Linked DNA regions of Daphnia pulex. The protein of the gene in region 2 interacts with the protein of the main gene of each other region in a pairwise test. Links are inferred from orthologs where the notes say so. Each region holds a gene or a part of one and is shown on either strand. Other genes may lie near its edges.

The links.
Region 1: the proteins of splicing factor 45-like (region 2) and splicing factor 1-like interact in binary tests that used the Homo sapiens proteins (3 or more experiments, as listed by UniProt). The link is inferred for Daphnia pulex from reciprocal best matches to the Homo sapiens genes RBM17 and SF1.
Region 3: the proteins of splicing factor 45-like (region 2) and putative pre-mRNA-splicing factor ATP-dependent RNA helicase PRP1 interact in binary tests that used the Homo sapiens proteins (3 or more experiments, as listed by UniProt). The link is inferred for Daphnia pulex from reciprocal best matches to the Homo sapiens genes RBM17 and DHX15.
Region 4: the proteins of splicing factor 45-like (region 2) and U2 snRNP-associated SURP motif-containing protein-like interact in binary tests that used the Homo sapiens proteins (3 or more experiments, as listed by UniProt). The link is inferred for Daphnia pulex from reciprocal best matches to the Homo sapiens genes RBM17 and U2SURP.

What each region holds. Positions count from the first base shown.
Region 1 is NC_060027.1:2,738,732-2,744,530, reverse strand, and holds the start of splicing factor 1-like, read right to left. Parts: upstream 3,625-5,799; 5' UTR 2,623-3,624; coding exon 2,178-2,622; intron 2,034-2,177; coding exon 1,958-2,033; intron 1,385-1,957; coding exon 1,232-1,384; intron 1,170-1,231; coding exon 1,063-1,169; intron 998-1,062; coding exon 843-997; intron 780-842; coding exon 480-779; intron 418-479; coding exon 1-417. Other genes in the region: tyrosine-protein kinase Src42A-like, read right to left, coding at 5,275-5,486, 5,552-5,799. UniProt on the Homo sapiens protein: Necessary for the ATP-dependent first step of spliceosome assembly. Binds to the intron branch point sequence (BPS) 5'-UACUAAC-3' of the pre-mRNA. May act as transcription repressor.
Region 2 is NC_060018.1:8,644,373-8,649,656, reverse strand, and holds splicing factor 45-like, read right to left. Parts: upstream 3,368-5,284; 5' UTR 3,167-3,367; coding exon 3,053-3,166; intron 2,989-3,052; coding exon 2,748-2,988; intron 2,673-2,747; coding exon 2,579-2,672; intron 2,502-2,578; coding exon 2,078-2,501; intron 2,004-2,077; coding exon 1,829-2,003; intron 1,761-1,828; coding exon 1,663-1,760; 3' UTR 1,629-1,662; exon of another isoform or gene 1,540-1,628; 3' UTR 1,347-1,539; downstream 1-1,346. Other genes in the region: cyclin-G-associated kinase-like, read right to left, coding at 4,317-4,421, 4,495-4,671, 4,744-4,916, 4,987-5,271. UniProt on the Homo sapiens protein: Splice factor that binds to the single-stranded 3'AG at the exon/intron border and promotes its utilization in the second catalytic step. Involved in the regulation of alternative splicing and the utilization of cryptic splice sites.
Region 3 is NC_060017.1:1,845,403-1,851,204, reverse strand, and holds putative pre-mRNA-splicing factor ATP-dependent RNA helicase PRP1, read left to right. Parts: upstream 1-1,883; 5' UTR 1,884-2,009; coding exon 2,010-2,056; intron 2,057-2,237; coding exon 2,238-2,279; intron 2,280-2,392; coding exon 2,393-2,500; intron 2,501-2,563; coding exon 2,564-2,704; intron 2,705-2,767; coding exon 2,768-2,842; intron 2,843-2,903; coding exon 2,904-3,008; intron 3,009-3,071; coding exon 3,072-3,450; intron 3,451-3,530; coding exon 3,531-3,785; intron 3,786-3,849; coding exon 3,850-4,108; intron 4,109-4,167; coding exon 4,168-4,359; intron 4,360-4,713; coding exon 4,714-4,853; intron 4,854-4,916; coding exon 4,917-5,090; intron 5,091-5,151; coding exon 5,152-5,314; intron 5,315-5,372; coding exon 5,373-5,494; 3' UTR 5,495-5,499; intron 5,500-5,557; 3' UTR 5,558-5,801; downstream 5,802-5,802. Other genes in the region: quinone oxidoreductase-like, read right to left, coding at 108-260, 320-418, 499-531.
Region 4 is NC_060023.1:3,570,237-3,576,024, reverse strand, and holds the start of U2 snRNP-associated SURP motif-containing protein-like, read right to left. Parts: upstream 3,318-5,788; 5' UTR 3,158-3,317; coding exon 3,083-3,157; intron 3,011-3,082; coding exon 2,917-3,010; intron 2,850-2,916; coding exon 2,663-2,849; intron 2,605-2,662; coding exon 2,477-2,604; intron 2,421-2,476; coding exon 2,347-2,420; intron 2,284-2,346; coding exon 2,118-2,283; intron 2,053-2,117; coding exon 1,889-2,052; intron 1,819-1,888; coding exon 1,759-1,818; intron 1,428-1,758; coding exon 1,384-1,427; intron 994-1,383; coding exon 889-993; intron 818-888; coding exon 702-817; intron 646-701; coding exon 531-645; intron 468-530; coding exon 305-467; intron 236-304; coding exon 1-235. Other genes in the region: phenoloxidase-activating factor 2-like, read left to right, coding at 5,134-5,317, 5,403-5,698, 5,769-5,788.

The DNA.
Region 1 (5,799 bases), on a different chromosome or scaffold from region 2:
ACCTCCCCATTGAGGAGCCCCACCCATCCACGGTTGCATGTTGGATTGCGCTTGCTGTTGTGAACCAGAGGAAGCACCTTCAGTACCTGGTGGAGGAGGAGCGGATGACATACCGCCACTGTGACCCATCCATCCACCGCCCATCGGAGTGCCCCAAGGACCCGGCGGACCATAGCTTTGTGGAGGACCCCATTGATTGGCAGCTCCTTGTTGTTGATTTGGTCCAGGACCACGTGGAGGGCCGCCACCACCACCTCGACCACCACCCATGGATGGACCAGCAGTGATGGCCCTAGGTTGTCCTTGTTGTCGATCAAACAATCCAGAGCTTCCATGATAACTTGAACGTGTACCGCTTCCCGATCCTTCACTCTTCGGTGGAGGACCCTCTCCCAATTCGGCCATCAAAGACATGTACTGTTAAAAGAATGTAGGAGATGAGTAAATGTTCGATTGCGTTAAAGCTTTGCAAAATTTACCTCTTCATCAATCTTATTTCCTGGTGCTCCATCAGCATTAGCTGAATTACGGGGAGTTCGACAATCTCGAGCAATATGACCGGTTCCTCCGCAGTTGTTGCAAATGACGGTGTTCGTGACGTTAGGCTTGTCGGGACATTGCCATGCTTTGTGAGTAGTGGCACCGCAGTTTGAACACCGTGGACCAAACTCGCCTTCGCGGAACGTTCCATTCAACATGGCCAATTCTCGTAGCTGCATTTTCCGTAAATCGTTTTGATCCTCTGGTACCTCAACAGCTTCCTTAATGATCTTTCTAATCTGTCAATTCAAAAACAGCGTCATTGATTGTTCTTTTTTCTACTTCAAGATGGAAATACTCACTCGATCGACAGCTTTTTTAATGGCTTCCATACTATTGGCGGTTACATAGGCATGCAGAGGTTCATCTTCGCCTGGCAAAGGCTTACCTACTTTTCCTTCTTTGACTGATCCTTTGCCTCGAATTATAATCTTAGCTCCAGTGTCTTTTTCCATAGCTGGTAAAATATAACGATCGGGTTTAATGTTATGTTACGGTTAAATAAATAAACAAAAAACTTACATTTTAAAGTGTTTCCACGTGGACCAATCAGCAGCCCCACAAAATTGATTTCCGGATGCTCCTCTTGCGGAATCATGACTTTATCGGAGACGCGCGTCATAGGGGGTCTAATAATACAAGGAAAGTGATAAGTAAGGGCAGACATGGTAACTAAGATAAATGATCTTACTTGTAGTCTACAGGGGGTTTGAAGTCAGCATTTAAGGAAATCATCTTGGTGATCATGGAGTGGCGCTCTTCTTCTAGCTTACGACGCATCCGGTACTCCCGGGTGTTCAGCCTTTTACCATCCGTCCCGTAAATTGGTTCCGGTGATGGCGATCTGAAAATGAAGGAGGAAAAAAAGAACAAAGGGAATACGAAAATGAGCTATCTTTTCTTATTCTGAATTTAGACGAGGATAATTGTAAATTGATTAAGTTATTATTTTTGCAATTGATTAAATGTTCTGAAATTTTATCCATCCGTCCAGCTGAGCAATGAGAAAAATCGAGATAAAAAGCAATTTTAAAAAATGGCAAGTATAAATTGCCTATATTGAACGTTAGAATATTTCTTTGAAAATAAATGCACGTCCTGTAAAGGTTCAAAAAATCAAATTATAGGCTCCCTACATCTGAACCTAACAGACGGCATTAGTACGATTTCGGTTTGTGGTGAAAAAAAGATTAAAATGTCAACCAATTAATCATCACAACCTAGGCTCATTTGTAAGAACCTGAAAGGTCTTTGGAGGGAATGGATATAGATCAATCAATGGATAAAAAAGAATGAATTGTTTTATGCCTAGCTGACAAATTAAAAAAAAAAAAGATTGAAATATAAACAATTTAATTTTGATTAACTATGAAAAATTGGGAAAGAAACGAATTAGTATTGGCTTTATATATCAAACCTTTCTTCTGGATTGGGAGCAATGCCTAAATCACCAGTCCTCAGTTTCCGTGTTATCTCCTCAATCTTGAATTGGACTGAAAAATCACAAGTCAATACACACAATATTATGATGAATCAGTTAATACACTCATACAAGACAGAATATGCACTCCTGTACGCAAGTGATGAGAATGCACAATATTCAAAAATTAAGTTACACAGATGCACAGAACTATTACCTAGATACGCCTCCTCCTGGTCCTTTGTCAAGTTTGCTGGTAAAACAGTTGGCATGCCCGGAATGAAGGTCTTTTCTTTCTCATCTCCACCCCAGCGTGAACGCCTCTTCTTCTTTTTCTCTCCACCGAGTGAATTGTCATCTGAGTTGTTGCTATCTTCCAGTCCACGTTTCCAGGTGTTGGCACTGGCAGAAGTGGACGAAGATGATGTGGGGTAGCTGTAGCTGGGAGTTGTAGATGGCTGATCAAATTTGGATTCGTATTTTGTTTCGTACTTTGGCTCATATTTTTGCTCGTAGCTTCCGTGTGAGCCTTCATCATCCGAATTCAGATAATTCGGGTTTAAAAGCGAAGAAGTTGCTTGTCTTCTTCCACCGGTGAGAGCTGGATTGACCCTGCCCAGAGGTGTAGTATTGGCACCCGTTGAATGAGCGTTACTCGGCATGACTTATAGCAAAATATGGTCAAATTCAATTGAAATCGTGGACAATCGGACAGAAATTAACCGAACACGTAATGTCAGAAATAGAATGCGTCTAACTTTGCGCACATTGAAATGATGAGAGCCGAATTATTGCCCGACGCGATGAGACGCCAAGATGGCTGACGCGACATTGTCAAATTAATGAAAAATTTAATTTATCGATTAACTCGCATTTTGATTCGTTCTTGGCAATGTGGCAATGCTCGGTCTTTATTTATAAATCGTAATTCACTTTCACTTTCATTTGTTTAAAAACCTTTTCATTGCCGAGTGCCAACAACAAAAGTTACAAAACCTTTAGTAACCATAAATTAATCTAAAATCTAGAGGTTTGATTATGATGAATGATAAGACAATCACTAATTTAAAGTTCACCGCTAAGTAACGGCCAAAGTCGTGCAAGAATTTTTTTCGTATTTCCAAATGATGTGGTCGTATAATTGTTAAACCACGACAATCTAACATGTCAATGACAAGAATCTATTTAAATAGGTACCACAATCTAACAGACTCATTTGAAATATAACATAAAGGTGTCACAGTTGTCACACTGAATGGGTTTCGTAATCAGCTTTGCTTGGCTTTGCTATCATTGCTTGTTTGTATGGCACTATGGCTTCAAAAAATCATTGATAAATCACGTCAATTATAATTATCTATCCTGTTGCGTGTCATGTAGGCCCATCACATCAATCGGTTTTCGATAGTCCGACTTCACCACTCATTTAAGAAGGCCACATGTAATTTACTTTGCTCCACAGGTGAAAAAGTCACGACTGAATTTCGGTCACTTGTTTTGTGTTTTGGAATAGCGTTATTAGTTAAATGGGATGAGGGTGATTAGATAAAAATGTCCTAGTTGCAGGAAGTTATTTCACCAGTTTGTTTGCAATTGAGTTCCAGTGGAAAATCCCAAGCTGGAATTCCACAATTCTACAACCACACTGGCCATTTTCTAGATAACTAATGACGATAATTATCAGTCGTTTTTTTCCCCTTCATAACGATAGTGGTTAATTGAGGCTGATGACTTGGCAAGTTTATTTCTCATGGAAACACCCACTAGCCCTTCCCAGCGTCGGCAGGGTTTTTGGGTACTAGTTTTTTCCTTTTTTTTACATAGTAATATAATTGGAACAGGAGACCATCGTTTGCCTCACCGCCATTGGAGATGAAAATTGGCGAGAGGTTGCGCGATCCTGAACATGGTCGCGCTCTGTTTACATGAAAGAATTGGCATATGTGGAACAGTCGCGAATTCTTCCTTCTACTGAAATCGCCACCTAAATTTTACCTTTGAAATAATTTTTTGACAAATCCTGAAACCAACGGTATTTCAGTTCACGAATATTAGATGGCACTGCTTCTTTATTTATTAATTTTCCTAAAAGAACCGGCCCCAGCGTCACGACAAAATCCCACAACGAAGCCCATCTTTCTTCTTTTTGTTCTCAGGTCAATGACAATTGTAAACTCGACTCCTCCCACTGCTCATGAGTTCAAAAACCAGCAGAGGCGATAATGTTTTACGGACTTGTATGGGAATCGTAAACCAGAAAGTCAACGGTCAGTTTGACTCATCTGCTATTCAATCTAAAGACGTTATCTCAACTGGTTTACGTTCGAATTTCCAGTATTTGGACACACACAACCATTCCAATTCCTGATCAAATTATTGCGTCCTGATTTCGATTGTTCCAAGGTGAAAATAAAAACTTTGCTCACAATAAATCTACTACAATCGGTGTCGACGCAACCACAAACGCCCCGTTTTTTCTTTCCCCTACTGTTTCTATAAGGACATAATTAAGGACAGAATGAATACCATGTTGTAAGCTCTTTGGTTCGTTCCACGGCCGAATTCTACTTTGGCGCACAATGACAACCAAACGACTGCAATTTAAAAGAAAAAACAAGTGCTTTATTGTCCAATTGTTCCTGGAAATCAAGGATTCAAGAGGGGATAATGATGAAAACACAAAGTCTAGACGACTGTAAAGTTCGAATGAAGACGAGATACTGACGGGAAACAAAAAAAATCATAATAAGGAGACGAGGGCAATTTAAATCATAAAAAAAGAGAGAAAGAACTGTGACGATAAACATCGGGTGGAAGCGCACACATCCACATACACATCAACAGCAATTGGATGCTCGGGATGGAAATGTACATAACGGTTAGGCTAAAAATGAGCCAAACCAAGCTAAATAAACTGACGAGCAAAGAAACAGAAAAGAAAAAGGGAGAACATAATCAAATAATGATTATTTTGAATGCACTCTTTTTTTCATTTCTAAAAATCCCAACCAGATAAAAATAAAATGTGATTGTGTGTTGCGGTTTACACGGTATCAAATATTACTTGGGATATGGGGAGTAGTTCTTAAGTAATGCCATTAATAATAATAATAGACACGCCTGAGCACCGTTGCGTTTTTCTTTTCTTCATTGAACCTTGTTGTTGTTTTTTTAAGAGGCAGTCCAAGTCAATCAAGACAAAAGGAGAACTAGTGTGCGCGATTGCTGTTTGTGTAGTACGTGTTGTGGGTGTATGACATTGAGTGGGTTAATCGTTCACCAGTCTTTTGGCTCAATAGGGAACCGCAGCGGATCTAGTAGGCAACAGCGGCTTCTTTGTATTCAGACCCTTCAATGGTAAAAAAGTCCTCTAGTTTCCATTGAAGCGTCTCGAATGTAGGCCGTTTCATAGGGTCTTTGTGCCATGTTTCCAACATAATTTCATAGAGAGCAGGTGGGCAACTAGGAGGTGCCGGCATCCTGTACCCGTGCTCAACCTGGTGGAGCACCTCAGCATTGGTCATACCTAGCCGAAATGTTGATTGATTAGCAAACTGGAAAAATGAGTTCAACCAAATTGACTCGACTCACCAGGATAGGGAATGCGTCCGTAAGTAATGAGTTCAGTAAGAAGGATTCCGAAAGACCAGACGTCTGACTTGATAGAGAACTTGCTGTAGTTGGCTGCTTCAGGTGCGGTCCACTTGATGGGGAACCGAGCGCCCACACGAGCTTCGTACTCGTCTTCCTTGATAATACGCGCCAAACCGAAATCGGCAATTTTGACGATGTTATTCTCTCCAACTAAAACGTTGCGAGCGGCCAAATCACGATGAATG
Region 2 (5,284 bases):
ACTAGTGTCAGCAAATGCACACGACAATTATGTTTCCCGGTTAAAAAAAAAAAAAATACTTTGTACCACATGGACATGACCCAATTGTTTGACGGACATTACAGCAGGCAAGAAACAAGTAGACTCTCAAGTGACGAAATTATCTTTGACCTCGAATAACGCAGAGCCTAATTGACGTATCTTCTTGAAATTTGGAGATTGATCATAAGATGTCTAGTTGATTATTAACGTAGACATCATTAAGCAATGATTTCAATCGGCCAAATTCCTTTTTTTTTGCAAACTGAACAAAAGTAAAATAAGAACATTTGAACACCAATACCTAGTATATAGTAAGAGTGTGACCGTGAAAATGTCGTTAGGTGAGCGTCAGTTGTGAAGTTCTTCCTTCTTGATGGTTCGAATCAGACTGGCGACTTGTGGTGGGAGGTTTGAAAAGAATTTGCGGAACTTGCCTCCAGAGACGTTGATGTGTCCTATTCTATTCCTATAGGATCATTGAACTGCCTCGAACCAGTTTATCCTTGAACTCCGGACATTTTACCCCACTAAAAACATGTACTCACCCTCACCCTCTTCAAGAAAAAGTTATCTACCCATTTTATGATATGATGACATTTATTTTTTTTTATTTTTTTTTGTAATCCTGCGGCTCATGAACCACAACACATTGCAACATACTAACATATCTTTAAAACAGGCGGTGACGCTTTCGAATTTATTATACAGCACACGGTCACGAAAAATAATGCATAACAGGCCGTATTTACTGAAATGCTATGCTTTATAAGCACGTACGTTATTGAGCATTTGAGCTATATTAAATGTCAAAATATGAGGTCAATAATAATGGCAATGACAGCTGACCTTGTTCTCGATCATGTTGAGACATGAACGATTCACGAAGAATTCTTTCAACATTATGATATCATAGGAATTTTGAGGCAAGAAGAGGTTCCCACTTTGCGTAGCTATTTCGAAGAACTACATATACTCATGGTTCTTGGAAACCGGATTATACTATTTAAAAAATACGTTAACGTCGATAGATCGTCCCCTATAAAATATTAACCTCATTTTTATATGAAAGTGGTTTAACCTACTGAATGTCACTTAAAAAACACTTAAGAAAAGAACCAATTTTCATGAAATTTTTTATGATTTGGAAACGGGATATATATATGGAAACCTACCGCCAAGTTTCCGAATTCAAATCTATACTTTTTTTATTACTAAATTCTAAGCATCCACTAGAAGTCTATTACTGATTTGCAGCTACGCTTGACAACTCAAATTTTAAAAAGTAGAATCTACCTTTTGATGAAAAATGAATGTAGTCGTGAAAATCAAAGTAAAGTAAATCTATTTTACACTTTGAATGTAGAACCTTGCTTGATCAACACATTTTTGTGCAATTCAATTATTTGTTCTGGTGTGATATTGCGAGGACACGCTAGCTTGTGAAGTTAGAATTTGTTTTGCTTCGTAGTAGTTTAAATTCATCTCTCTTCATCCCTTTTAAGGAATCAATCTTATTTCCTAGAACGAGAGAAAGGTTTTTCGTCCTAAAGGTCAAATGCTTCCAACTTTTGGGAACAACGCCATACCATGTAATTAAATTCAATTACTTTCGATTCGTAAAATTTATTTTTCAATACGTGTTCAATCATTCAGCTCCATCTTGAGAAATCTTTCCACATCATAGAATCCGGCTTTCACCTGCCGACCAGCAAAGAATCGGCCGTTGAGATCAATTACGGCTACAAAAAGAAACGACAGTTAACAATTTTTAACAGACCTGTGTTATTGTTCAACTGTAGTTAATTACCTTTGATGGCAGCTTCCATTCGTTTAAATTCAACAAAAATCCGTACAGCTTCCTCTTCCTCGGCGTTAGGTACCTCGAAAATAACAACTTTATTCACATCCCCGTATTTTGTCTGACATTCCTCGCGTACTTCGGGTTCCAAATCAGAATCCACTTCACCAGGGCCAACCATATTCTAATGAAAGGGGAAACAAACAAACAACAGAATTTGAAATGAGGACCGTGAAAATGATTGACCTATGACATTACCCTCAGATAAATCACTTTTGAAGGATTCTTCATGATATCAGCAATCGTTAATTCCGCTTTGGGAGCAGCTGTTGGCGACACAACAGGTGGCGGAGGAGGCATAATTTCTTTTTCATTGATAATACGTCCACCTCGCTTGCTTGTTTTTTCCACTTGTAAGGCAGCTGCAATACCTTGCTGTTGTCGTCCAAGTCCCTGACCTTCTTTGAATCCATATTTTGCCATGATCTTAGCAGCAACACCAAGAGCTCCAACCCCACTTCCAGTAGAGGAGAGAGAAGGATGAGATGGCGATGAGTTGTCTTGTAATGATGGAGGTGGGGCAATGGCAACTCCACCAGAAGTAGAGGACTTCTTCACCATTGGTTCCTCTTCCTCATCATGTAAACGTCCAGCAAAACCTGATCCTACAGCAGATGAGGACCTAAAACATGAAATGGTTATGTAATCAGTTTCTATCATCACCATATTTATTAGGCAGCTCCCAGTCCCATTATATACCTGTCTCTGGTTTTAATATCTCGATCATCCCTAGGCTTCCTTTTCTTTTCAGCTTCTTCTATTTCAATTTCAATCCCTCGTCGTTCCTTTCTCTCTAAACAAAAAACAAAAAAAAAAACAAAAATTATTGTATTCAGATTTTTCATTTTCTATAAAAGGTGCTGTGTACCCCTAATGATTTTGTCATAGTCAGTAGGATGCAGTGGATCATACTCTAGATTTGGGTCCCATTCCAATTCAGCAAAGAGTGAGGATCTCTCTTGTTTAGGAACAATAGTTGTCAAGAGTTGGGGTGTCTGATGAATCAGATTTTTGGTCATTTCAGGTTCAGTTTTTATCTGTGATTCAGTAGCTGTGAGGCAGGGTGGTATTACAGGATGGATAGCTCTTCGGATACCTTCACGTTTTGGCTAGGAAAAACAAATCTTTCTTCATAATCTATGAGTAACAAATGAAATGTAAATTGTAGGATACCTGTGTAATCATAGCTTTCTTTAAGTGCATCTGCGAATGTAAAAGCTTGATTCCTGACGACCATCCGGTGACAGATTTAGCTTTATTTTCGTCGATATCATCGTAAAGAGACATTTTCACAGCAAAGTAATTTCTTATATCCGTTGAATTAGTTGTCGTTCAAATCGTTTTTAAACAGAGCTCAGGACGCCTTCGCAGTAACATACACAAGAAATAAAAATAGACGACGAATGCAAATTGTACTGTATTTTTTTATGTTTTGATGTATTCATCTCATGAAAGGTGAAGGTGACTACTAAACAGCTACCTAAATCTGCAGTGAGGAACCAGGGGGCAGGGGCATGCCAGGGCCCAGCAGGGCCAGGGCCCAGGGGTGGCCAGGGGTGGCCAGGCACTACAGATACAGCGATACTACCCTGTTTCTACTTATAAATAATTGAATTGTTTTTTTGTCAATTAAACACCTTGCTTTTCGGATACGGAATAGAAAATACGGAGCTTCTCCCAAAAAATTGCCTCCTTGCGCATATCGTTGATTTTTGATTGTTTTGGGACAGGAATATTTTTGGGTCGGCCCTTTTACGAGTTACGACACCTCCAAATGTCGCCACAGTTGTGTGCCGTTAATTGTATGCGTATCTATATTATCGAGCGGACGGACTTGTTATAAGAGGTGTCTGTGACGAAGAATCAGTGACGAGAAAGAATAAAGTTATTTATATCGCAAATTCCAACAATTGGTTTGTGAGAAGTCACTGTTTTTCTGCAATAAAACTCAACGTGGCTACATCTTGCATCTGAACTTTCTGTAGCACCGAACAATAATTATTTTAATACTATTTTTAAATTAACTGAATTTAACCGAATCTTTAACGCTTCTTTTAAGAATCATTAATAATGATGCAGACACGTGTATTACTTCTTGAAAACCGGTAGCTATTAAACTTAAGCCGGGCGGAGATTACCGCCTTCGTTAGAGAAAACGAGACGACTTCTCCGTAGAAGAAACAGAAAGAGAACAATTAAAATCACGGAGAAGGAAAAGAAAGAAGAAAAGCGGCTGAGGAAAAGTTCTAAAAACGTGATGTAAGCTATTGTAGCTGAATTTGAAAGGAAATCTTGGGACGGTAGGGAGAGACATCGATTCCGAGTTACGACTAGATCATGGGCGTTTCGTATGAGTTAACCCAATGCTAGACAATTATAAACACGTAAATAGAACAATCAACGCTCGTAAACTATGAAGAATGGAGGAATGTATCTGTTATCGAAACATATTTTGCTGTGTTACGTCGTTTTCAAATTCAGACCAGGCGTCGTTCAGTTCCATAAAAATCATTTTTGCTATTTTCTCGTTGTCAGTTCCAGACTGTGTGATAATACATTCGAATTAAAGGCAACTTTTCTTACTAAATGTAAATGACGTGATAAATTTTACCAACCTGTTTGTCTGGATGCACTGCCAAGCAAGCCTTACGATACATTTTCTTGACATCCGTGTGCGACACTAGCTGGTGCATCCCCACGTCTTGCCATTTAGTGCCTTCCCAGAGAACGGTATGGAGCGAGCAGAGTAAAGCCCTGATATTACGCTGCTTTCCCTCTGTCCATTCCATAATCTGTCAAGATTAAACAAACAACAGTTAGTTCATAATTTTATCCGTAGTAAACACATTTTGTAAAATACTAACCTTCATTTTATCTGGATCTATATCTTTGGCCAATTCTTCCTTGCGCATAGCGTTGATTGTTTTGGGACCAGAATCTTTTTTGGTGCTACTAAAATCAAACCCCTGGGTTCCCAGCAAATCCCCAAACATATCGCCAGCAACTTTAGGTCTAGGTAAGCCACCACCTCCTTTGGCTGAAATTTAAAGAAATACCGCATAATATTTAAAACACTGTTTTTAAATCTTTGATTAAGGAAAAATTACTATAATCACTACGGCCAAAAACAGAGTCAAAGTTTGTTCTAGAGTAATCAGGTTGCCCTTCGCCGGGTGTTTTGACGGGCTGCTGCATAGAAGTACTTGTTGATGTGGAAGAATTGGAGACTGGGTTTGACCGACTGGCCTGTTGTGGTATAGTATTCGTATTCGACCACATTGTTGGTGGCTTATGAAGCGGTGATCCACTTAACGAAGTTGACGGACTCGTCAAAGACGTGCCAGCAGCCACTGTGGGGAAATTCGAGAAGCCGGTAGGTGGATTCGCCAACCCTTATTAGATGAA
Region 3 (5,802 bases), on a different chromosome or scaffold from region 2:
AGAAGAAATTGTAGCACTTTCTCTTCAAACTATTTCTTGAGTATTTGGATGATTTCAAATCATTGAACCTGTTCCTTTGGAAGATTATTTTAAAAAGGACGACTAACCTTGAGTGTGTCAACTTTGGAGCCAACTTTTTCAATAGTTCCAGAACCATCACGTCCAGGGATGTAAGGCAGAGTTGGCAATTGAGCAAATAATCCCATTCTAATGTATGTGTCAACTGGATTAACACCAGCTGAACCAACCCTAATCAAAACCTAAACATAGCAACTTTAGAACAGTCGTGTCAATTGAAGCAAGTGAACAAATAAAAAACCTGGGTTTCAGAATGAACAGGAATCGGAACATCAGACTCTACTTTCAAGACTTCTGGTCCTCCAAATGTGTGCACACGTACAGCCTTCATTGCCAGTCCCTGAAAATAAAACAACAATAAAAAAATCATTATTTTAATGTTCATAATCTCTACATGATTTTGTCCATTTTTCTGTATACCCTAGTTAATACAAAGAAGTTTCTCGAGTTCATTGACACATATTTAGTTAAGGGCTCGGTCGAAAGTTCGTTGCATCTTTCATTTTACAGTTTACCTTCACTGGATAATTTACAGTTTACCTTCACTGGATAACTGCTTGCTGGCTTTCTCTTATCTAATCAAGCAGCACCTCTAGTTTTATTCAATAAGATATCTGTTAATAACATCAACAAGTTCAGACGACATAGAGGGCGAAGGCTCCCAATTCAAAAAATGTCCGATCGCAATTTTTGCAAATCATAAACAGAAATGCAAATAAAAAAAGTAGTCTTTGGTCTCTTTAGAAGGAAAATATTAAATCAAAATGCGATGCTCTAGATACTGAGAGCGCGTAACGGAAATCGGGTTTCTTTGGAAATATTTTCTCCCGAAGTACGGGCACTTTTTCGGCCATTGAAATCAAGTTATTTAACAGCACACACGAAATTTCCAATTATTTTGTTAAGTAATATTACAGATTTTTAGCTATAGCGATAAAATTAACGGTAACAAAAAATTGTCTTACGGATTTTCAAAGGGAATTGTAACAGGGAAACGTAAACTGGACGGACGTAGGACGGAAGACCTGTTAATTCCTCGGCGGCAGGTAGCGATGTGAATGTCGGGAGCACCGAGAAAGAAGAAATAGGACATCAAATTTCCTAGCCTTTCTTTTTTTCTTTACTGCTATGTGTTCCGCTCAGTTCACGATTTCATGCCCGTTCTCTGCGTTCTACTTTCTCTCTACAACTTCCCTACTAATAAAGAACAATTTAAATTGAATTATTCCGGGAAGCATCAATGCATTTAAACAATAGCTTCTCCCCATATAGATTTTTATTTTCTATTTTTTCCTAGGCCTAATTTCATTAGACCAAACACATGATTAATAGAAATAAGACAAATTGAGTCCTTCAATGCGTATTGGATATTCAAACTAATTTATTTGAAATGAATTCAAAGTTTTTTATAATAAGGACGTCGTCAATGCTGAATTCTCGTGGAATATATAAACATAACGGTACTGAACGGAGGAAATATTCCGAATTGAGAAATCAACAACTTTTTCATTTAGGCTAACTTGTAACTTTCTAACCACCAAAACGAGGCAACCATGAAATTGTGATCGAGCAGTAAAATAATTACTATACTATTCAATTAGCAAATACCATATAGCTAGGGTCTGAAACGAATTAGAAGCAAAGCCATATACATTTATAGATCAGCGCCGCGCATAAAAATACGGCATCTGTAGACGAGTTATTGTCAACTTAAATTGTGGCAATAAACCAGTAGTTCCGCAGTTCGCCGCTTATTGGCTATGTGCCATCTAGCGATTTGAAATGAAACGCGTGCTTCCTTTGAATTTCACAAGTAGCGTCTGCAAGTGTGGAAATTGGTGGCCGAAGTTCCTGTCTGTGCTGTTGGAAAACGTGTATCCACGTCCTGTTCGTTTTTAAATATCGTAAAATAGATATTTTCACCTCTTATTATGTCGAAAAGACGCATAGAAGTTGATGACAAGCTCAGCAAGAAATCGTAAGTAAAATGCAATTATTCAAATTAGACAAATAAACCCGCGATTGTGTCATTTGTAATGCACATGAGCATGCTGTAGTGAAACATGTCGTGGTCGATAAGATTGTTAATGATTTTTCAAAAAACCATCATTCTTTTTTTAAATTATTATGCAATAAAATTAATTTGTTTTACTTTACAGCCGGGCAACTGGTGACAAAGGGAGTGAAGCAGATAAAGAAAAGTAAGCTTCTATTGTTATAAATATTTTTCTAAATTCATTTTCACTTTTTGATTTACAAATTCCCATATTAGTGTCTTAAGATTAAAATAATGCTTTGTCTTATTACTTTACAGAAATGTAACTGATTCTAAACCTGGTGGTTCATCTGCATCAATTCCAGTAACACCATCAAAGCCAGGGTTGACATTAAATCCCCTTACAGGATTGCCCTATACACAAAAGTACATCATAAATATTATTTTTTTTTAAACACTCGTTGATAATGATCATTTATATTGTTTTAGATACTATGACATTTATCGAAAGCGCATTGGCCTTCCAGTTTGGGAATACAGGGAGAAATTTTTTGAGCTTCTAGAAAACAACCAGGCAATAGTTTTAGTTGGAGAAACTGGATCGGGAAAAACTACTCAAATTCCTCAATGGTTAGGAAATATATTTAGTTTATCGTAGAGCAGTTTGTTGATAATTTGCTATTATTGTGACAGGTCGGCTGAGTTTGCGCGAAAACTAGGAGTTAAAAAAGGAGTCGCTTGTACTCAACCACGTCGAGTTGCTGCTATGTAATATTTTAAGTCAAATAGTTAATTTTCTCTTAATATAAAACCGTTTTTTTTTTGTAAGGTCTGTGGCTCAACGTGTAGCTGATGAAATGGACGTCGTTCTTGGTCAAGAAGTGGGTTACAGTATCCGTTTCGAAGACTGTTCTTCCCCCAAAACCGTACTCAAGTATGTTCTTTTGAGTAAAACGTTTTATTCGATCAAAACTATTCCCTATTTCATTTTTTAAAGGTACATGACAGACGGTATGTTGTTGCGTGAAGCCATGTCAGATCCACTGTTAGACTCGTATCAGCTAGTTTTATTGGACGAAGCTCACGAGCGTACACTTGCTACTGACATTCTTATGGGTGTTTTAAAGGAAGTCATTAAGCAAAGGCGTGATCTAAAGTTAATTATCATGTCTGCCACGCTTGACGCGGGAAAGTTTCAATCTTATTTTGATAACGCACCATTGATGAACGTGCCCGGTCGGACGCATCCTGTGGAGATCTTTTACACCCCAGAACCCGAGCGTGACTATCTTGAAGCAGCCATACGCACAGTCATGCAAATTCACATGTGTGAAGATATTGTCGGTGATGTTCTTCTCTTCCTCACTGGTCAAGAGGTTAGCTTTATATATTTGTAAAATTTGATTGAATTTCTCAGATTTCTCTGAACATGTTTATCTTATTCATGTACACATAGGAAATCGATGAAGCTTGCAAAAGGTTGAAACGTGAAATCGACAACCTTGGTCCTGAAGTGGGAGAAATGAAGTGTATTCCTTTGTACTCCACATTGCCACCAAATTTGCAACAGAGGATTTTTGAGGCTGCTCCCCCAGTTAGACCAAATGGAGCCATCGGTCGTAAAGTGGTTATTAGTACCAACATCGCCGAGACCTCGCTTACTATTGATGGTGTTGTTTTTGTTATTGACCCTGGTTTTGCCAAACAAAAGGTAACATTTAGGAATTTTCAAATGTGAGTTACATGGTTCAAATTTGTGGAATTGCTGTTTTCAGGTTTACAATCCTCGCATTCGCGTCGAGTCTTTACTCGTTTCTCCTATCAGCAAAGCATCAGCTCAGCAACGTGCTGGGCGTGCCGGGCGTACGCGACCAGGAAAATGTTTTCGTCTTTACACAGAAAAAGCCTACAAACAAGAGATGCAAGACAACACATATCCTGAAATTCTTCGCTCCAACTTGGGATCAGTCGTCATTAATCTTAAAAAATTAGGCATCGACGACCTTGTTCATTTTGATTTCATGGACCCTCCAGGTACCATATCAACATTTAAATAAATAAACCGCATGCTGATTTTTTTTTTTATTTTACAGCTCCCGAGACTTTGATGAGAGCTCTAGAGTTGCTGAATTATCTCGGTGCTTTAGACGACGATGGTAACATGACCGAGTTGGGAGCAATTATGGCTGAATTTCCCCTTGATCCTCAATTGGCCAAAATGTTGATTGCTTCTACGGAATTCAACTGCTCCAATGAGATCCTTTCGATTACGGCTATGCTTTCCGGTAAGCTTCACCTAACTTCTATTTCGGTTGATTTGGTTGTCTTTGTGTGGGATCTGAAAAATAGCTAGGGTGATTTGCCACGTTTTGCCTTTGTAGTTTAATCTAAAAGTTCTTACTTGTTATGGCAAAACGGCTAATCAACTGGTTTAAAAGGTGTGCTTTCTTTGAGAGCACAGATCATAGTAGAAACGATAGGCTGTTCTATTGTATCCTGTTAATAGGTGAACAGAACTAAACATGAAGGCGGGACGCGCGGGCTTCCCATTTTTTGGTCTCCTTGAAAAATGTGGGGCCCCACTTCCGTCTCTTTCTCTTTTTGTCTCCTCCCATTTTTTCCGCAACGTCTGAATGCAGTCCCACAAGTTTTTATGCGTCCACTGGAAGCCAAAAAGGCTGCTGACGAGGCCAAGATGCGCTTTGCTCATATTGACGGTGATCACTTGACTATGCTGAACGTCTATCACGCATTTAAACAAAATATGGAAGATCCTCAGGTATGCTCCCGTCTTTTTCTACGAGCTCGTTGATGGTAATCTCACATTTTTCTTTTTAAACAGTGGTGTTATGACAATTTTGTCAACTACCGGTCAATGAAATCGGCCGACAATGTGCGACAACAGCTTTCCCGTATTATGGATCGCTTCAATTTAAAACGCACATCCACCGAATTCACCTCAAAGGACTACTATGTTAATATTCGTAAAGCACTCATTAGCGGTTTCTTTATGCAGGTATAGAGACAAATAATTTCTTCTCTTTGTATTTAAGTACATCTTCGCGTTGTTCTTCCAGGTTGCCCATTTAGAACGAACGGGTCACTATCAAACTATTAAAGATAACCAAGTGGTACAACTTCACCCTTCGACTTGCTTGGATCACAAACCGGAATGGGTTATTTACAACGAATTTGTTTTGACCACTAAAAACTACATCAGAACTTGCACCGATGTCAAACGTAGAATATGAAAATCTGATTTTCTGATCCCCCAAATTAACACACTTCTGTTTTGTAGCGGAATGGCTTATCAAAGTTGCTCCTTCTTATTATGATATGAGCAATTTCCCAGAAGGACCGGCAAAGAGACAACTTGAACAGATAATCAACCGTCTAGAGAGTCGAGAATATCGGAATTGAAAACGGTAAGTTGACGTTATCCTTTGTTTCTATTCGATATCAGGAGTCAAACTGTTTTTTTAGGGCTTAAAAACACCTCTTACACTTACTTTGTAAAGTCGACCGATCATCAGTTTCCATGAATTGATTCGAGGCGAAGACATTCCGACTTCTTTCGCAAACATCAAAGCTTATTCAAATATTACATTTAATCGGAAATCAAGCAGTCGAATATTACAATTGTAATCTTTAACAAAATGTGCACATGTTGCATCAATGTCCAACATTGAAAATTTCGAGATGGTACAATACATGGAGTATCATCAATT
Region 4 (5,788 bases), on a different chromosome or scaffold from region 2:
GAATGAGGAATTCGGCTGGATAGACATTCCATTCTTCCCAAGCTCGAAAGCAGAGCATAACTCGTTGTCGAAAAGCTTCGGCTTTCAATCGGCTCTCGGTCGCCTCGTACGCTTGATGCATATAATTGACTATTTCCACCATGTGTGACTGGAATCCCGAACGGAAACTGGAAGCATTGACCGCCTTTGCAGACGAGTTGTAAAGGACGTCTGATACCAAAAAAAATCTTCCCAACTGAAAAAAACAAAAACAAGATTAAATTAAGTAGGTTTCTTCCAACTTGGAAGTCACGACTTAAATTACCTTTTGAGGAATATAGGTTTTGACACTATTGAGTGACTCGGTAACGAAATCGATGATTTCCTCGTAAGCTTCGGCGTGCTCGATGCAAAAAATCATAGCTTCCGCTACTTTGGATTTTTCAGGAGTCAATTTTCTCAACATCAATTCTAGTCGTTTCTTTTGACTATGGATTTGAACGTAAATTAGAATTGCTTAATGAATTAGAAAAAATAATTGTAGTAAATACGATTTGCTGAGCGATCGTCGGCGACTCTCATCATCTTCCTCGTCGGACGAGAAAAGTTCGTCTGGCATGCCCTCAGAAAACGGGTTCATAGACGGGGGTTTCCAGATGGAACCGCCTATTAATTTTTAAAAATGAGCGCTGGATAATTTACAGAATAAAAAGAAATTTTACCTTTAAACATGCGAAAGTCTTCTGTGGACCACACATTACCAGACTCGCCTTGTAGGATTGAGAACAATTTCCAGCGATAGTAAATGTGAGCTGGACTCCGGTTTTCAAATAGAAACCTGATTGCAAAAGTAAAAAAGAAATAATAATTACTATCCAACAACATTTTTAGAAAAGACAATTTAGGTACCTGAATTGCTGGTTATCAATTTCCTTGTTCATCACCATGGCCTCAAGCATTGGGCCCTCTCGAACAACAGATTCGATCATTCGATGAATCAAACACAACAAATTTCTGTGTACGCCAGTTCCAGAAAACCAAGTTCAACATACGTATGACACGCACAAATGTCAATCGTACAGATTTACGTGGTGATAAAAATGAAAATGTTAAGATTAGCTACCGACTTAAAAAATTTTGTTCGATGATTTAAAAGAAGTGGGTCAATTGAAAAAGCAAAATTTCTTTCTTTTTTTTTTTGGTCAAGCATTCCGAGTGTTAGTTAAAAGTTTACAAAGGAATTAAATAAGACTTAAGGAATAGTCGCATTGGAAGAATGAAAAGAACAATGTGTTGTTCCTTCGTGACAAAACGTGTATACTCCCTGGGGCTCGGAGGGAGCAGGGTAATGTCACACAGCCGCGCAGCTTCAAGGTATTATGAGGCTTGATCTTTGTTACATACCTGTCTGTAGGGATAACCACTTTGACAACAGCCCTGGATATAATCTGCGAGAGAAGCAGCAAACCCGGGTGAAACATCAACATATTTCCAAACACACAATAGTATGAGAGCAGTGAGACACGAACAACGGTCTTCACTAGCCAAACGAATGCAACGCATGAAAACAAATTTTTGGCTGGGTTTCATCGCTTTCCGCCGAAGAACACAAATAGAAAAGATGAGACCTCCCAACGAAGCGACCGCACACAAAGCACTCGCTTCTTTTTATCCGCCGACCATGAGTAACAATGCCGGAACAGGCGGATAAAAAGTCTCGAGTCTTGTGTCAGTCATATTGCTGGGTTGATTGAAATAGCTTAGCCCATCCCCCAATACCTTGTTGAAGTTCTCCAACGCCTCGCCGTGTGTTGGGTAGGGTGTTCCGGGTGGCGGGATCTGTGACAAGGGAAATATTAATTTCAATTATGTTTGAAAGAACATCTAAGGTACTGCATACCAGCCATACCTGATCAATATCTTGTGGGGAGGGTATTGCATTAAAAGGCAAGCCGGTTGGTGGTGGAGGAAGCGTTTTTTCAAGTAATGCTGGCGGTATGTAAATCGGTCGAGCAGGAATTGGCAAGGCCTTCCCCCATCCGAGTTTCATTTCAAAAGACAGAATATCTTTACCTGTTGAAAAATAAACATTTGATATAAATGCATCGATGCAAAAAACGGAATATAAACTGTCAAACCGTTTAATTTTTTCATCGCTCTCTCTGCGTCTTTTCGGCACATAAAGGCTACGAATCCGCAATTTCGATTCCTTGCTTTCTCTTCCTCAGTTCGAGGCCACATGATTTTTACGCTGGCTAAAGGTCCATATTTTCCAAATGTGTCCATCAATTGTTGTTCTGTCATCTGCAAGGGACATTAAATTTATGTTAATAAAGTTGATAAAAACATGATTTATTTAAAACTTGCCTTAGGGTTGATATTGCCTAAATAAATGTTAGTGGTATTGGGATCTCCTACATCAAATGATCCTGTCTTTTCTTCTGAAACAAAAAAAGTGTGACAAATTTGCTACAAAATGCAATTACAATTTACATACCTATCAAGATTGATCCAAGAGCAAGAGAGCTTTTGCTAGTACTTGGAGAACTCACATTGACAGGCTCAAAGCGACTTGGTTTCAAGTGAGCTTTAACTTTGTGTCGTTCCTCTCTTTCTTCTTGGATACTGTAAGAAAATTTAATTGTAACATTATTTTTTAAATAAGAGAATAATCTAGTTTTACACTCTGAGTTCCTCTTTGAACATCTCAAGATTGCTCTTTTTCTTCTCCTTTTTTTGTAAACTTTTATCTTTTGATTCTTTAGATTCCTTAGATTCATTTGCCTTGGATCTTGTGGAGAAAGATTCTGCTAAGCTCGCCAATTTAGATGTTGGTTTATACAATTTGCCTTTATCTTTGGCATCTTCCTCTGCAAATTAAAATGAAAATATTAAGAAAAATGGCTATATTATAGCATTAAATGTGTAATCTGTTACTTCTTTGACCAGCATCATAGGTACCCGCTTTGACCCAAACTTTACTGACTTTGCTGGCATCTTCTTGAAATGTGGCTACAAACTCCTCAAATACCTAATAATAAATCCAATGAACAATAATATTGAATTATTTGAAGTTCAGCTTCTCCAAACAAATGTGTATCACCTCAGCAGCAGCTTCAATTTCTTCGCGCTTCTTGATTTCTTCGAGTTCTTTACGAGACAGTCCTCTTTTGGCCATTTTGACACAATACACTAATGTTGCAAGAATGTTAAAAAGAAGTTGAGTATCTTCTTATAATTTCACGTCATAGAAGGTTTAATTATATTTCGATCAATCCATCCCACAAGCACTTCATACTATTTCAGCCGATTCCAGCTCGCATCGGCCAAAACAGCGATGCCAATCATTATTATTTTTCTTTTTTGGTCGAGGAATAACATAACACAGAATCAGATCGGCCAATCGGCACATCGCCAACATGAGTCATGAGTATATGAATATGACAACTAAAATTTCGTTGATTTTCGCGTTAGGAAAAAAACATGTAGTATATGTCGTAAAACTGCACCCAATTGTCACAAATGTTTATTACATTGTGTAACAGGCGAGGCCGGCAGTCAGTAGGATCAAATCTGGTGGAGAAGAAAATGCGCATGAGGGCAACACGCGAGCCATCGGCCCCAAAACATGTAAAATTTGTTACAGCCTTATTACAGGGATGATAAATTCCATTGTTTGATGTCACCGTGAAATTGAATGGACTCCAATATCGTCGTATTCCATTGTCGAATCTTTCTTGATTATTCTTGCATAAAATTGCGTTTAAACATTATTACAGAAAGGAACAAGAAATCACAATTTATTGTATAGCGAAAGTCCCAAAAATATTCAACATCACCACTTTTTGTTACTAGGGTAATTTAAAATCAGAAGAAATTATAATGGAATCACCGTAAAATTTTTCCTAATTTAATACTCATTATCCCTAAAGTTTCATTGTTTTACACAATAACTGTTTAATAGCGGAAGTTTTCACTAATACCTCGTTAAATATAACGTTATGTTCTGTTAATTGTACTAATTGTAAATTTCCGTGCATGGCCTAAGTCCCGGCCGAAACAAAACAGATCCACATGAAAGGGTTTTCCAACTTATATAATATACATGCTTACAGAACATCAAAAGCATTCCGTTATTTTGTTATTTCTAGTTTGGGAAATTTTCATTTTGGGTACAACTCGATAGTGACGTTGGGTTTTTCCATATTACATTGCAGTTTTGGCTAGTATATGCATGTATCGTGTATCCTAATTTCCCTTTCCATTATCCCTGAATACAATAAAAGAACGACATTTTTTTCTATGCACGTGTCAAATGAATGGGAAATTTTGATTACAAAACGAATTAACTATTGTGTGTCGAAATTCATACAGCTCATTCAGGTAACCCAAAACTTATCTAATCTTGCAATTAACGAACAATTTTGCTCTATTGCTCATATATTCTCTCCCAAAATTTTTTTTTAAACTTAAATTTAAAACAATTCCGCCAAATTTTTTTTTTTTGCTGATGACCGGTTGATGGCTCTACACTTGGGTTTGCGGTGCCAAGGTGTGTTAGCAGAAGCTAAAAAAGACCTTGAGCTTGACTGACTGCTTTCTCTCCAAAAAATAGCCTTGAGGAAAAAACTGGGGAAGGATGAGGGGAAACCGGAGAACCTCAAACTATAAAGCGATAATATTGATTCGAAATATACGCATGCAGCCTAATGCAACTACAACAAATAGTAAAGCAAATGCCATATGGAAATGACTCGTCATTTAGCTATTGGCACATCCGGTTGATGATAACAAAGGCTTTATAAGTGAACCGCACACATGGTTGAACAACCTAAATTAAATCACCTGATGAGCCGAGAGGGAAAAAAAATAACGTGTACACTCACCTTGGGAAATCCCGACAAAGTCACGTGACCCTCCAACTGAAAAACCAGTTTCTATTGGTTCCAGGAGTTGGTAACTAGCTGGTCTCTTGTGTTAACAGTGTGTGCTGGAGGATAAATCAGCCAGTATATAAAGCAACAGCCAGAGTCAGATCATTCAACAAGTTTCTTCTAAGAGAACTTGAACTCGAGGTAAGACAACTTTAAGTGCTAAATATCTTTTTTAAAAATTATTAACAACAACATTTTCATAATCATTTATTTAGACAGAATGAAAGTAAGTGCTGCGTTAGTATTCGTTGTCTTTGTGTCGTCGGTGGTAGCCAAGCCACAAATTTCATTTGGGGAAGAGGAAGAGCCAGTTCCTGTAGATTTACCCAACACGTCTGTAGATGCGTTGGGTACTGACGATGAGTTGGTCCACACTCGTCTAGGTCTTCTCGCCGGCTATCTCAGTAAATTAATAATTTGATTTCCCATTTTTCGTTTATGAGATAGTACGAATTCTATAAGCCTAATTTAATATGTTTTTATTTGTAGATCTAGAAGCTGTCCCCGGTTCAGCTCCTATTGGTGAACAGAAGAAAGATCCAGCTCTAAAACCCAATCCTTACATTCCCGAAGAAGATGTTTCTGGAAAACAGTCTGGTCAGTGCTTGTGCGTTCCTGTAGGGAAATGCGCCAATCCTGCACCGGGAAATATTCCTCTTCCACCACCTGGCTCCGGACCACTCCCTCCCCCACCCATACCTGGACATTCGCAACCTCCCCCTAACAATATCCCACCTGTCAATACGGACGGTGCCGGCCTCATCGACGTGCGCATCGTCAATAAGGTAAGCGAGAATATTAAATTCTAGACAGAGGAATAAAAACGGTTATTGTAAGAATCTGTTCAATTTTTAGCCAGCTGGAGTTCGTTGCCA